Linked DNA regions of Arabidopsis thaliana. The protein of the gene in region 1 interacts with the protein of each later gene in a pairwise test. Each region holds a gene or a part of one and is shown in the gene's direction. Other genes may lie near its edges.

Region 1 (4,447 bases):
CCGCGTCTATTGAGATGAGTCAGTACGAGAATAATGAAGTTCCTTACTCAAGTGTCGGTGCTGATGAGGTTCCATCATCACCGCCTAAAGCTACCGATAAGATTCGGAAAGTTTCCATGTTGCCACTTGTTTTCCTCATATTCTATGAAGTCTCAGGAGGTCCTTTTGGTGTAGAGGATAGTGTGAATGCAGCAGGACCATTATTAGCTCTTCTAGGGTTTGTGATCTTTCCTTTCATTTGGAGTATCCCTGAGGCTTTGATTACTGCGGAGATGGGAACAATGTATCCCGAGAATGGTGGTTATGTTGTGTGGGTTTCCTCTGCTTTGGGACCTTTTTGGGGGTTTCAGCAAGGTTGGATGAAATGGCTTAGTGGTGTTATTGATAACGCTTTGTATCCTGTTCTGTTTCTTGACTATTTGAAGTCTGGAGTCCCGGCTTTAGGTAGCGGTTTACCGAGAGTTGCATCGATCTTGGTGCTGACTATTTTGTTGACGTATCTGAACTACAGGGGACTAACTATAGTTGGTTGGGTTGCTGTGCTTATGGGAGTTTTCTCCATCCTTCCGTTTGCTGTGATGGGTTTGATTTCGATTCCGCAGCTAGAGCCTTCGAGATGGCTTGTGATGGACTTAGGGAATGTGAACTGGAATTTGTATCTTAACACGCTTTTCTGGAATCTAAACTATTGGGACTCGATTAGTACACTAGCTGGTGAAGTTGAAAACCCCAACCATACACTTCCAAAGGCTTTGTTTTATGGTGTGATCTTAGTTGCTTGTTCTTACATCTTCCCTCTTTTGGCTGGAATCGGGGCAATCCCGCTAGAGCGTGAGAAATGGACAGATGGGTATTTTTCTGATGTGGCCAAAGCTCTTGGTGGAGCGTGGTTGAGATGGTGGGTTCAAGCGGCTGCAGCTACATCAAACATGGGAATGTTTATAGCCGAGATGAGTAGTGACTCTTTTCAGCTTCTCGGAATGGCTGAGCGCGGTATGCTTCCCGAGTTCTTTGCCAAAAGGTCACGTTACGGGACACCTTTACTAGGGATTCTGTTTTCAGCGTCAGGTGTTGTTCTCTTGTCTTGGCTAAGCTTTCAAGAGATTGTAGCTGCAGAGAACTTACTCTACTGCGTTGGTATGATCTTAGAGTTTATAGCGTTTGTTAGAATGAGAATGAAACACCCTGCTGCATCAAGACCGTACAAGATACCTATTGGAACCACAGGTTCGATCCTCATGTGTATTCCTCCAACCATACTGATCTGTGCTGTTGTAGCACTCTCGTCTCTTAAAGTAGCTGCAGTGAGCATTGTGATGATGATCATTGGTTTCCTGATACATCCTTTACTGAACCATATGGATCGAAAGAGATGGGTCAAATTCTCCATCAGTTCTGACTTACCGGACCTTCAACAGCAGACTCGGGAATACGAAGAAACTCTAATACGTTAAGAATGTCCTTAGTTATTTCCCTCGTCTATGTTAAGTACAGAGCTTGGAAGCTATAGCCAAAAAAGCTTAATTTCTCATAGTCTGTACTCTGTTTTATTCACAGCTTGTTCTAAAGTTGTAGTTTTTTCGTAAAGTTAGGTCATCGTTAGCACGGTTCCAATAAAATGTGCAATGTTTGTATCTCTGTTATGTTTTTGTCGTTGCCATTGTCGATTTGAAACATGGCTTTGGAAATTTGAAGTCTTTGAACAAAACCTTCGATCAAAGTCTGGTCAACAGTTGCAAAGCTTGGATCTTTGGATAAGTTTTCATCACCAATGATTGGAAAGAGAGAAAAAACCCTCACAAAACCCCAAAAAGCAGTATCAGTGTTTGACACGCAAACAAAATCGCTATAGTCTCAATTGATCGGAGGTTCTATCACCATCGTCTCCATCTGCATAATTTATTAAATATTTAGGACTTGTCATTGATATGGACACTCTCAAAACAGAGAACCACAATTTCTTCAATCCTTTCCAGGATATGACAAGTACAACGATATGGGTGAGTTTTGTTTTCTTCTTAAAGCATCGCTCAATCTTCAGACAACCCTAGATTCTCTCACGGTTTGTACTTCTTTACCTCTCGTAAATGTTTAGACTTTCGTATAAGGATCCAAGAATTTATCTGATTGTTTTTTTTTCTTTGTTTCTTTGTGTTGATTCAGAAGGGAAGTATCATTAGTTCATTACCATGGGAGACTATAACATGAATGAATTTGCTTATGGTAATCTTTACGATGATGATGATGGCGATGTTGGTGGATCGTCTAAAGAAGGAAACAATTCGATTCAGAAAGTTTCAATGTTACCACTCGTTTTCCTCATATTCTACGAAGTCTCAGGAGGTCCTTTCGGTGCTGAAGGTAGTGTGAATGCAGCAGGACCATTGTTAGCTCTTTTAGGGTTTGTGATCTTCCCTTTCATTTGGTGTATCCCTGAGGCACTAATCACTGCGGAGATGAGTACAATGTTTCCAATAAACGGCGGTTTTGTTGTTTGGGTCTCCTCTGCTTTGGGAACCTTTTGGGGGTTTCAAGTAGGTTGGATGAAATGGCTTTGCGGTGTTATTGATAACGCTTTGTATCCTGTTCTTTTCCTCGATTATTTGAAGTCCGCGGTCCCGGCTTTAGCTACTGGTTTGCCAAGAGTTGCATCGATCTTGATCTTGACTCTATTGCTTACTTACTTAAACTATAGAGGACTAACCATTGTTGGTTGGACCGCTGTGTTTATGGGAGTTTTCTCTATGCTTCCGTTTGCTGTAATGAGTCTGGTTTCTATTCCGCAGCTCGAGCCTTCGAGATGGCTTGTGATGGATTTAGGAAATGTCAACTGGAACTTGTATCTCAACACGCTTTTATGGAATCTGAACTACTGGGATTCGGTTAGTACACTGGCCGGTGAAGTGGCAAATCCGAAGAAAACACTTCCTAAGGCTTTGTGTTACGGTGTTATCTTTGTCGCTCTTTCGAACTTCCTCCCTCTTTTGTCTGGAACCGGGGCTATACCGTTGGATCGTGAGTTATGGACAGATGGATATCTAGCTGAGGTTGCTAAAGCCATCGGTGGAGGATGGTTACAATTGTGGGTTCAAGCGGCTGCAGCTACATCAAACATGGGAATGTTTTTAGCCGAAATGAGTAGTGATTCCTTTCAGCTACTTGGAATGGCTGAACTCGGTATACTTCCCGAGATCTTTGCGCAAAGATCTCGCTACGGGACACCTTTACTAGGGATTCTGTTTTCAGCCTCAGGTGTTTTACTCTTGTCAGGATTAAGCTTTCAAGAGATTATAGCTGCAGAGAATTTGCTTTACTGTGGTGGAATGATTTTGGAGTTTATAGCATTTGTTAGACTGAGGAAGAAACATCCGGCTGCATCGAGACCGTATAAGATACCTGTTGGAACCGTTGGTTCGATTCTGATATGTGTCCCTCCGATTGTACTGATATGTTTGGTTATTGTTCTATCTACTATTAAAGTGGCTCTTGTGAGCTTTGTGATGGTGGTCATTGGTTTCTTGATGAAACCTTGTTTAAATCATATGGATGGAAAGAAATGGGTCAAATTCTCAGTCTGTTCTGATTTGGCAGAGTTTCAGAAGGAGAATTTGGATTGTGAAGAGTCTTTGTTACGTTAGGGATACAAAGGTAAAAAAGCTTGGAACCTATAGTCAAACTCAAACAAACTGTATATCTTTCTGCTCGTTTTTTACTTTTTGTTCAAATTCTTTGTTCTCTGTTTAAGATCATAAGCACAAGAAGATATGTGTAAATGTTGTATCATTCAGTTTTTCTTTTGAAATGAAACCCATTGGTGATAGCCCAATACGTTTATGGAGGCCCATGAGAGCCCAATAAGTAATACAAAATTCATTTGTAGATCTACCGTTTATGTACGATGTGATCGAGATGCTCACAAATGTTTGAAAGAAGAAAAAACCCTAAACCCCCAAAATTTGCTTCGAGAAGAAAATGAATGGTGTCTCTCGTCATCTTCGAGCTTCTTCACTTCTTTCATTAATTCGCAGCTATGGTGGAATCAATTCGGTCTGTCGATTTTCGTCTCAATCTGATGGCTTCTCTGGTTCGTCATTTCCCATTTTTATCTCTCCCGATCCATATTTTGCTTCTTCAATTTTGAGTTATGACCCAGAACTATGATTGAATCGAGAACAATTTTCTTCTGGGTTTGATCTGATTTATGCATTTGAGTTGTACAATCAATATTTTGGATTTGGCGTTTAAGTTTTCCACTATCGTCAAGTGATGTTGTCCTCCATGAAAATGTGTAATTTCGTTATTAGGTATTGTTCAGGATTCTAACCTTTGCCTAGAAGTACAGAACGAGGATTTGAATCAATTAGTCTCAAGGATCAGCTTCTTATGGCTCTTTAACAATTTGCTGTATTCAGAAATTAGGCAATTATTGCAATTGGTAACGAGATAT
Region 2 (4,457 bases), on another chromosome or scaffold:
TCGAAGCTATATCTTTCCATCCATGTGCCCAAGTTCCAGCACATGGGATTGACAAGCAGAACATTGTTTTCCAGCCTCCCTTGGGTAACTTTGTTCTCATGCGATACCAGGCAGGTTGTGGACTCGGACCACCAGTGAAAGGGTTCTATCAGCTATCAATGGTTTCAGAAGACGAGGGTGCATTCCTCTTCAAGGTGCACCTCATGGAAGGTTACAAGGCTCCTCTGTCAATGGAATTTTGCACTATTACTATGCCCTTTCCACGGAGACGGATAGTGGCATTTGATGGGACTCCGTCAGCTGGGACTGTTTTAACCACAGAACACTCTGTTGAGTGGAGGATTCTGGGCAGCGGACGTAGTCTTTCTGGGAAAAGCCTTGAGGCAACTTTCCCTGGGACAATCAAGTTTAGTCCATTGCAGAGCAGAAGAAAAGGGGATGGGGATGATGAAGAGAGTGAGGATGAGAGCGCTGAGAATGTGGTGAACGTGGAGGACTTCTTGGTGCAGAAAATGAACAAGGATCTCCCAGCAGCTGAGTTGGAGGAACCGTTCTGCTGGCAAGCCTATGACTATGCCAAGGTATGTATGTCTTTGGCTTCCTTTTGAAATCTTTTGGACTTGGTTGTTGTTCAAATCTATCTTCTGGTTTACAGGTCTCGTTCAAGATTGTCGGGGCATCTGTATCTCGAATGTCAATCGACACAAAATCAGTAAGCTTTCGCAACTTGCAATGATTAGTTAACAGTGTTAGCCCATATTATCGACTTATTATGGCCTCCTTTTGTTTTACTAGGTCAATATCTACCCAACCACAAAGTCACCGGTTGAGTTTTCTGCTCAGGTAAGACACTGCCAACAATATATAGTGTATAAATATTGAAGTGCACAGGAAACGTTTGAACCGGATTGGATAAAACTCTAAAGGCGCTCTACATGATATGTGCGTAAACAGGTGACTTCAGGGGATTATATATTGTGGAACACATTGGGGAAAGCTCCATCAGCAGCCGTCGTGTGATTTCCCCAAGTCGCAGCCTCACTGGTATTGTATTTTCCCATCCCAAGGAAGTGATTTATTTGTTTGAGTTTGAAAGCATTAAACGTATGAATGAGCAGTTTGATTTTTACAGCGGAAGTGTATCTGTACATTATTGTTGTTTCTTGAGAGATAAAGAAAGATGAATGTTGTTTTAGTTGCAAATCTGTCTGGAATGGAACATGTGATAATAAAACTCGTAAGGTGGTTGTGTTCATGAAGTTGCCACTGTTTCATAATTAGTCTACAAGCCTAAGAAAGAAATTGCTCTATATAGAGAATGCTATCTAGATATAGTATATATCCAGCTCATAAAGGAGATTATAATCCAAGGTTTGCAGCAATATGAGGTCTGTATTTTATGAAATTACAAAATTAGAAGAAAAATATCAATCAATTTAAAGATTGTTGTTGCCACGTCAATGACACTGTCTCTGTAGTTCCAATGAGCTTGGAATAACCACCGACAGATCTCATTCATAGGGAGCAAGCTGCCATTGGAGGTTAATTCCATTTTTTTCATAATAAAGGTTAACTGTCCAAACTCGAAACCCTGATTTATTTAGTTTTCAATAAATGTTTTCATGCCTTTTAAGAGTGTGTGCTAAGCTAACAGATGAGCTGTTATTACCTTGAAAACTCTAATCTATCTTAATTTAATAAGTTCTTAAATATCTTTCCAACTTTTTTTACGCTTTAAGAAAAGAAAAAAAATCCTATTTCTTGAAACGTAATGTTAATGGAAGGAGTCAAGTTGTCTTTTGAAAATTGGATTACCTCATTAGAAAATTCCACCAATTTGGTCAAATAGAGACGATGAGATTTCTAAGAAGTCTCTCCGGTTCAGATCTGGTCATCTAAAGCCCTTCTTCCGAGATCTACGACTTTCTTCCTCAAGTCGTTGTCTGAATTCTCTTTTTTTCCGAAAACAGACACCACCTGAGTCTGCTGTCTGAAGCCTCGGCGGAGGGAGATGATGAAGAATCTTCCGGAGGTTGGTAATGGCGGTGGCTCGGGTTTTCCGGCGGTCTCTGTCGGAAATAAGAAGAATAAGTATCAGAGAATGGACTCCGACGCGGAGGAATCGCAGAATCATCGTGAAGCAGAGGCTAGAAACAGTAGAACCAGAAAATACGTTATGGCTTGTGCCTTTTTTGCATCCTTGAACAATGTTCTTCTCGGCTACGGTCGGTTTTACTTATATAATCGGATTCTTCTTCTTCTTCTTTACTTTGTTGACTTACAAAAAGGTATGTGTGCTCTGTTTTTGGTATTTGTCAGATGTTGGGGTAATGAGCGGTGCGGTGTTGTTCATACAGCAGGATCTCAAAATAACGGAGGTGCAGACGGAAGTGCTCATTGGTAGCCTTAGCATCATCTCACTCTTTGGCAGCTTAGCCGGCGGCAGAACCTCTGACTCTATCGGTAGAAAATGGACCATGGCCTTGGCTGCTCTCGTCTTCCAGACTGGTGCTGCCGTGATGGCTGTCGCTCCGTCTTTCGAGGTTTTGATGATAGGGAGAACTTTAGCCGGCATTGGGATTGGGCTTGGTGTCATGATCGCTCCTGTCTACATCGCCGAGATATCCCCCACCGTAGCTAGAGGATTTTTCACTTCGTTCCCTGAGATCTTCATAAATCTAGGGATCTTGCTGGGCTATGTTTCGAACTACGCTTTCTCGGGGCTTTCCGTGCATATCAGCTGGAGGATCATGCTTGCAGTTGGGATTCTTCCTTCGGTGTTCATAGGATTTGCGCTGTGTGTGATCCCTGAGTCGCCGAGGTGGCTGGTGATGAAAGGCCGAGTGGACAGTGCACGAGAGGTGCTCATGAAAACGAATGAGCGAGATGACGAAGCGGAAGAGCGGCTTGCAGAGATACAACTGGCGGCTGCACATACAGAAGGCAGCGAGGACAGGCCCGTGTGGCGTGAGCTTCTTAGCCCATCTCCTGTTGTACGGAAAATGCTGATTGTTGGATTTGGAATCCAGTGTTTCCAGCAGATCACAGGAATTGACGCCACAGTCTACTATAGTCCAGAGATCCTGAAAGAGGCTGGGATACAAGACGAGACCAAACTGCTCGCTGCAACTGTCGCTGTTGGTGTCACGAAAACAGTGTTCATACTATTTGCCACCTTCCTGATTGATAGTGTTGGCCGGAAACCGCTGCTTTATGTGAGCACAATAGGAATGACTCTGTGTCTCTTTTGTCTAAGCTTTACGCTCACATTCCTCGGCCAAGGAACGCTTGGGATAACCTTGGCGCTTCTCTTTGTTTGTGGAAACGTTGCCTTCTTCTCCATAGGAATGGGACCTGTTTGCTGGGTCTTGACATCAGAGATCTTTCCATTACGATTAAGAGCCCAGGCATCTGCGCTTGGGGCGGTTGGGAACAGGGTGTGCAGCGGTCTGGTGGCCATGTCCTTCCTCTCTGTGTCACGTGCCATCACTGTTGGAGGAACCTTCTTCGTTTTCTCCCTCGTGTCTGCACTCTCAGTTATCTTCGTGTATGTGCTAGTCCCCGAGACAAGCGGGAAGTCACTGGAGCAGATAGAGTTGATGTTTCAGGGTGGGCTGGAAAGAAAAGACGGTGAAGTTGAGCTTGGAGATGCTGAGCGTCTTGTGCGCAAGGAACAGGAGTTTTGAATTGATCATGTTAAAGTAGAAGAGGCAGAAGTGAAAAGATACTCTTATGGTGTTCTGTTCTTGCATTAGATCCAAAGAACGTAAGATAGATTTTGTAAGTGCGTTTGATGATGGTATAGACCCAGTGCATATTCCAAAGAAACCAACTGCTCTGTTTTTTTGTTCCTTGTTTCAAGAAGAAACCATGTGATACTCAACTCAAAAGACAATATATACAGAAATGACAGAACCTTTGTGTTCACTTCATGTTTCACACTCTCCTTCTAACACTCATAAAGTTACAGGCTCTCCGGACAGTTCGGCTATATATCAACTCAAACTTATTCACCATCAAACAACAAGAAGATTTTGCTAGTACTAAACACACATACACTCACACCCTCTCTTACCTTGTGCATCCTCCATAACAAGAGAGAAGGATTTGATGGACGGAGATTGTTATCGATCAAGAAGTTTAAAGCTCGTAACCTGGGAACCTGGCTTCAGATGGGTCGACCATGTCAAGGAAGAGATAGGCCATGCCTGCAACGCCTTCAAACAAGGAATAAGGACTATCACCTCCATGCATTTCTCCTTTTGAGAGTAACTTGGGGCCTCTATCAAGCAGGAAACTGGCAAAGGCTTTTGCACGGTATAGATACTCACTCCTTCCCGTAGCTCTGTAAAGCGCAAGAAAAACATATGCGTTCCCACTTATTCCATGACAGATCCCCACGCGCTTGAGCAATCCACGGTTCCAAACCACCTCTGCTGCAGCTGCACTCGCTTCCA
Region 3 (3,365 bases), on another chromosome or scaffold:
ATTTTTCTGCCATTTTAATGGTATAAACGCCTATGTTTCAAGGGTAACAGAAAATAAGTATTAAGTTTTTCTCTTCTTTAGTTCGCAATGTGAATACATAGATGATTCCAAAATATGCTTTCTTATATATTTGTAAGAATTTAGTTTGAAAAACAGACATGGTCCTTTAAAATGGAACCTGTGAAAAAATATAAACTTAATTCTTTTAACAAAAAGAAAAGAAAAAGTTTATAACATTTGGGGCACAAATTTGCACCTGATCACTACATTTTAATATGATGACAGCTTTATGGATTATTGAGGTAGTGCACCTGGTGCACGGTAGTTGGTGTGATAGTAACAATTGGAAAAAAAAAAAAAAAAAAATCCCACATATGACTTTTATTTGCACTTTTGAAATTTTTTTTCTTTATTTTTCTTTTAAAAATATATTTTTAATATGTAAAATTACTAAATTAACTTTCTTAAATTAATAACAATTAATCAAAAACATATATATTTTAATATCAAATCAATTTATTTGTAATAATTAAAATAATTCAAAATATATATTTAGGGTAATAAATTTTTGAATTTGTTAGTCTTTTATAACTAACAATTCCAAATCTTTATTGCCCTAAATATGTTTTTCTAAACAATAATGACTAACAATATTCTACCGATATTAAGTCATGATTTTTTTTAAGCCATGTGTTATGGTGCAGATTTTAATATTCATTATTATTGTAAAACATTAAATAATTTACTTTGCAAAAAAAAAAGGAGAATTATTGAATTCAAGCAAAGTTTGGTGATATGTTAAGTTGAAAATTGTGTTTGGACTACTCGAGATTATTTTATTTTATATAAGTCCGATTGGTAACACAAAACTGTACAAAATTTTAGCTGTTAGCTATAACCAAAACTTTTTTTGGAATAGTGCAAAGTTGTACAAAAGAATTATACGAGAAAGCTGTACAGTAAAGTTAAGAGTAAAACTTTTTGTAATGTTTTTGATAAAGTTAATTTTTGCGAATGATAACTCTCAAAATAGTACAAGTTATATCGCTTTGAGAATGTGTTACCATTTAAAACCTATAACATGACAAATATTAAGTGATAGACTTTATAATACTTTTAGATATAGAAAAATTGAGAGATAGAAAATTTCTTCATCCAAAAAGAAAGAGAGAAGTTGGATTCCCAATTTGCGGGATCCCAAAAAAATAAAATCCCCATTAGGCATCATAGTGTGTCCTCACAAGAAGATAGATATCGTGCCATAAATTAGAACTGAGAGTAAGGGGTCTTGGAATCCATCTCTCACTCTCATTCCTCTGTCACTTCCAGAAACCAAACTATTCATCTATCTAAATTGATCTATTTGGCTTAAAGTATCTTAGAGTCATCAAGAGGAAACCCCTTGTCTTTCCAAAAACTTTCTCGATATCATGCTATCACTGACATATTATTGGATATAAGACTTATAAGTCTAATACCCAATTATTGTAGTTTGTGTAGTTGATTGATGTCAAAGTTCATATGGTTTCAAATTTATTGGTAAATATTATGATTGATATCCTTTTTTTGATTTTAAAAATCACCATTTATATATTTTTCAACAACCGTTAAGCAAAAATTTTAAACCAATCTGCGGTAGTTCTTGTAGGCATTTTTCAAGTTTTTTTTAGTGTAGTTTCTTAAAGATACTAAAATTTAATTTATCGTGTCTAGTTTAAATTTGTGTAATTAATGTTCGCTATCTTTCTTTAAAAAAACAAGCACCTTAACATATATATGTGTCTATAACAAAGTAAGTTTGAGTACATAATATTGCATGCAAATATATGCGGCAAAACTAAAAAGTAATAAACGGCAAATGAAAAAAAAAGCTGCTTTAATTCAAATAATTAAATATTCGGAGTGACTCACTTTCTTTTTCCCCAGGGACTTCTTACCTATAAATATAACACCTCACCACACCCATTGTTTCATTCATCTTTCCAGCTTTCTTCACTTTTTCCTTTATATAAAGTTAGAAAAACAAAAAAAACAAAATAGTTAGAAAAAATCTGAGAGAAACAGAAGAAACATAAAAAAAATGAGGCCATTGAGCATTAAACCAACATCGTTAGATGTAGCTAGACATGCCACATCAGTAGAATCATTTGGGAATCACCGACCGCCGATATCGCCGTGGCACTCACCGGTGCCGTACCTATTCGGTGGTCTTGCGGCGATGTTAGGCCTCATAGCCTTCGCTTTACTTATCCTAGCCTGCTCTTACTGGCGCTTGTCAACCTCCGGTGATGACTCCGGCGAAAGAGTCGACGAGGAAAAAGAGAGTCGGTCTGGAGTGAAGGCGGCTAGCGCGGCGTGCGAGGAGAAGGTTCTTGTCATAATGGCCGGAGATGACTTGCCGAGGTTTCTGGCCACGCCGGCGGCGAACAAATGCATGTGCGGTCACGAGGGTAGAATGGTAATTTTCAAGGAGGATGGTATTGGTGCTGGAGAGGAGAAAATGGGAGACAGAGAGAAAGCCAAAGAAAATGAAGAAACAACGAGTCAGTGAGCTTTTTTGTTTTCTTTTCTTCTCTCAGTCTTGTCTTTTTTTTTTTGTTGGGGAATTTTCCTTCGTGTTTTCACGGGAAATGTAAAATTTACTGAGAGAAAATTTTGGGTTATGATTAATGAATGTTTGCTTGTAATTTCCTATCCCCAATGGTGGAAAACTCGTTTTTAGTTTTTGTAATTCTCAAAAGTGTGATAGGTAACCTTTCTCATACAGCTTTAATACCAATCAGTAATAGAGTAAACTAAAACGGAATAACATAATAGTACTTAAAATTCTTACAATTTTATGTCATCACTAAGATCTACAAAAAAATGAATCATAGTATCATAACACTATGTTTGCCCAAAAAAAAAAAAAAAAGTATCATAACACTATTGATCATAAATTCAAAGCTTGCAATGTTTCGATGGAAACGTGATTCATCCCGTACACAAACTGTAATTTTATATACATTTTCAGAAACTAATGTAATGCATTAACCCTTTTGTATTACGTATATATTCTCACATTTTATATTTTGTAAGGAGATTCGTTTAGTTACTTTAATTATGAATTGTTATAATTGTGTCTCCTCCATGTATTTGTGTTACTTTCATATTTTCCTTGCATTTATATATTTTATTTACCATAGGATAGTTCTGAATTTGCTATCAACTTGGATATTTTAAATTAATTGAGACTCCATCTAGTTCACCGTCAAATTTTAACTATACTTGTTTAACTATACTTGTTATATAACGAGTGAATAAACTGGAAATAGTATTACTATTAACTATGAACTTACATTCGTAATATTCGAAAATATGTGCGT

The links.
Region 2: the proteins of PUT1 (region 1) and AT2G20780 interact in a protein complementation assay, tested with the Arabidopsis thaliana proteins (one large-scale study listed by BioGRID).
Region 3: the proteins of PUT1 (region 1) and GDU4 interact in a protein complementation assay, tested with the Arabidopsis thaliana proteins (one large-scale study listed by BioGRID).

What each region holds. Positions count from the first base shown.
Region 1 is NC_003070.9:11,415,882-11,420,328, reverse strand, and holds PUT1 (Amino acid permease family protein), read left to right. Parts: upstream 1-1,864; 5' UTR 1,865-2,062; intron 2,063-2,163; 5' UTR 2,164-2,189; coding exon 2,190-3,638; 3' UTR 3,639-3,878; downstream 3,879-4,447. Other genes in the region: PUT2 (Amino acid permease family protein), read left to right, coding at 1-1,454; NFD3 (Ribosomal L18p/L5e family protein), read left to right, coding at 3,973-4,084.
Region 2 is NC_003071.7:8,946,725-8,951,181, reverse strand, and holds AT2G20780 (Major facilitator superfamily protein), read left to right. Parts: upstream 1-1,752; 5' UTR 1,753-2,011; coding exon 2,012-2,225; coding exon of another isoform or gene 2,226-2,288; intron 2,289-2,319; coding exon 2,320-3,686; 3' UTR 3,687-3,940; downstream 3,941-4,457. Other genes in the region: AT2G20790 (clathrin adaptor complexes medium subunit family protein), read left to right, coding at 1-581, 656-712, 796-843, 955-1,020; AT2G20784 (uncharacterized protein), read right to left, coding at 1,406-1,561; GCL2 (GCR2-like 2), read right to left, coding at 4,141-4,457. UniProt on the Arabidopsis thaliana protein: Plasma membrane sugar-proton symporter.
Region 3 is NC_003071.7:10,557,399-10,560,763, forward strand, and holds GDU4 (glutamine dumper 4), read left to right. Parts: upstream 1-1,774; 5' UTR 1,775-2,080; coding exon 2,081-2,551; 3' UTR 2,552-2,841; downstream 2,842-3,365. UniProt on the Arabidopsis thaliana protein: Probable subunit of an amino acid transporter involved in the regulation of the amino acid metabolism. Stimulates amino acid export by activating nonselective amino acid facilitators.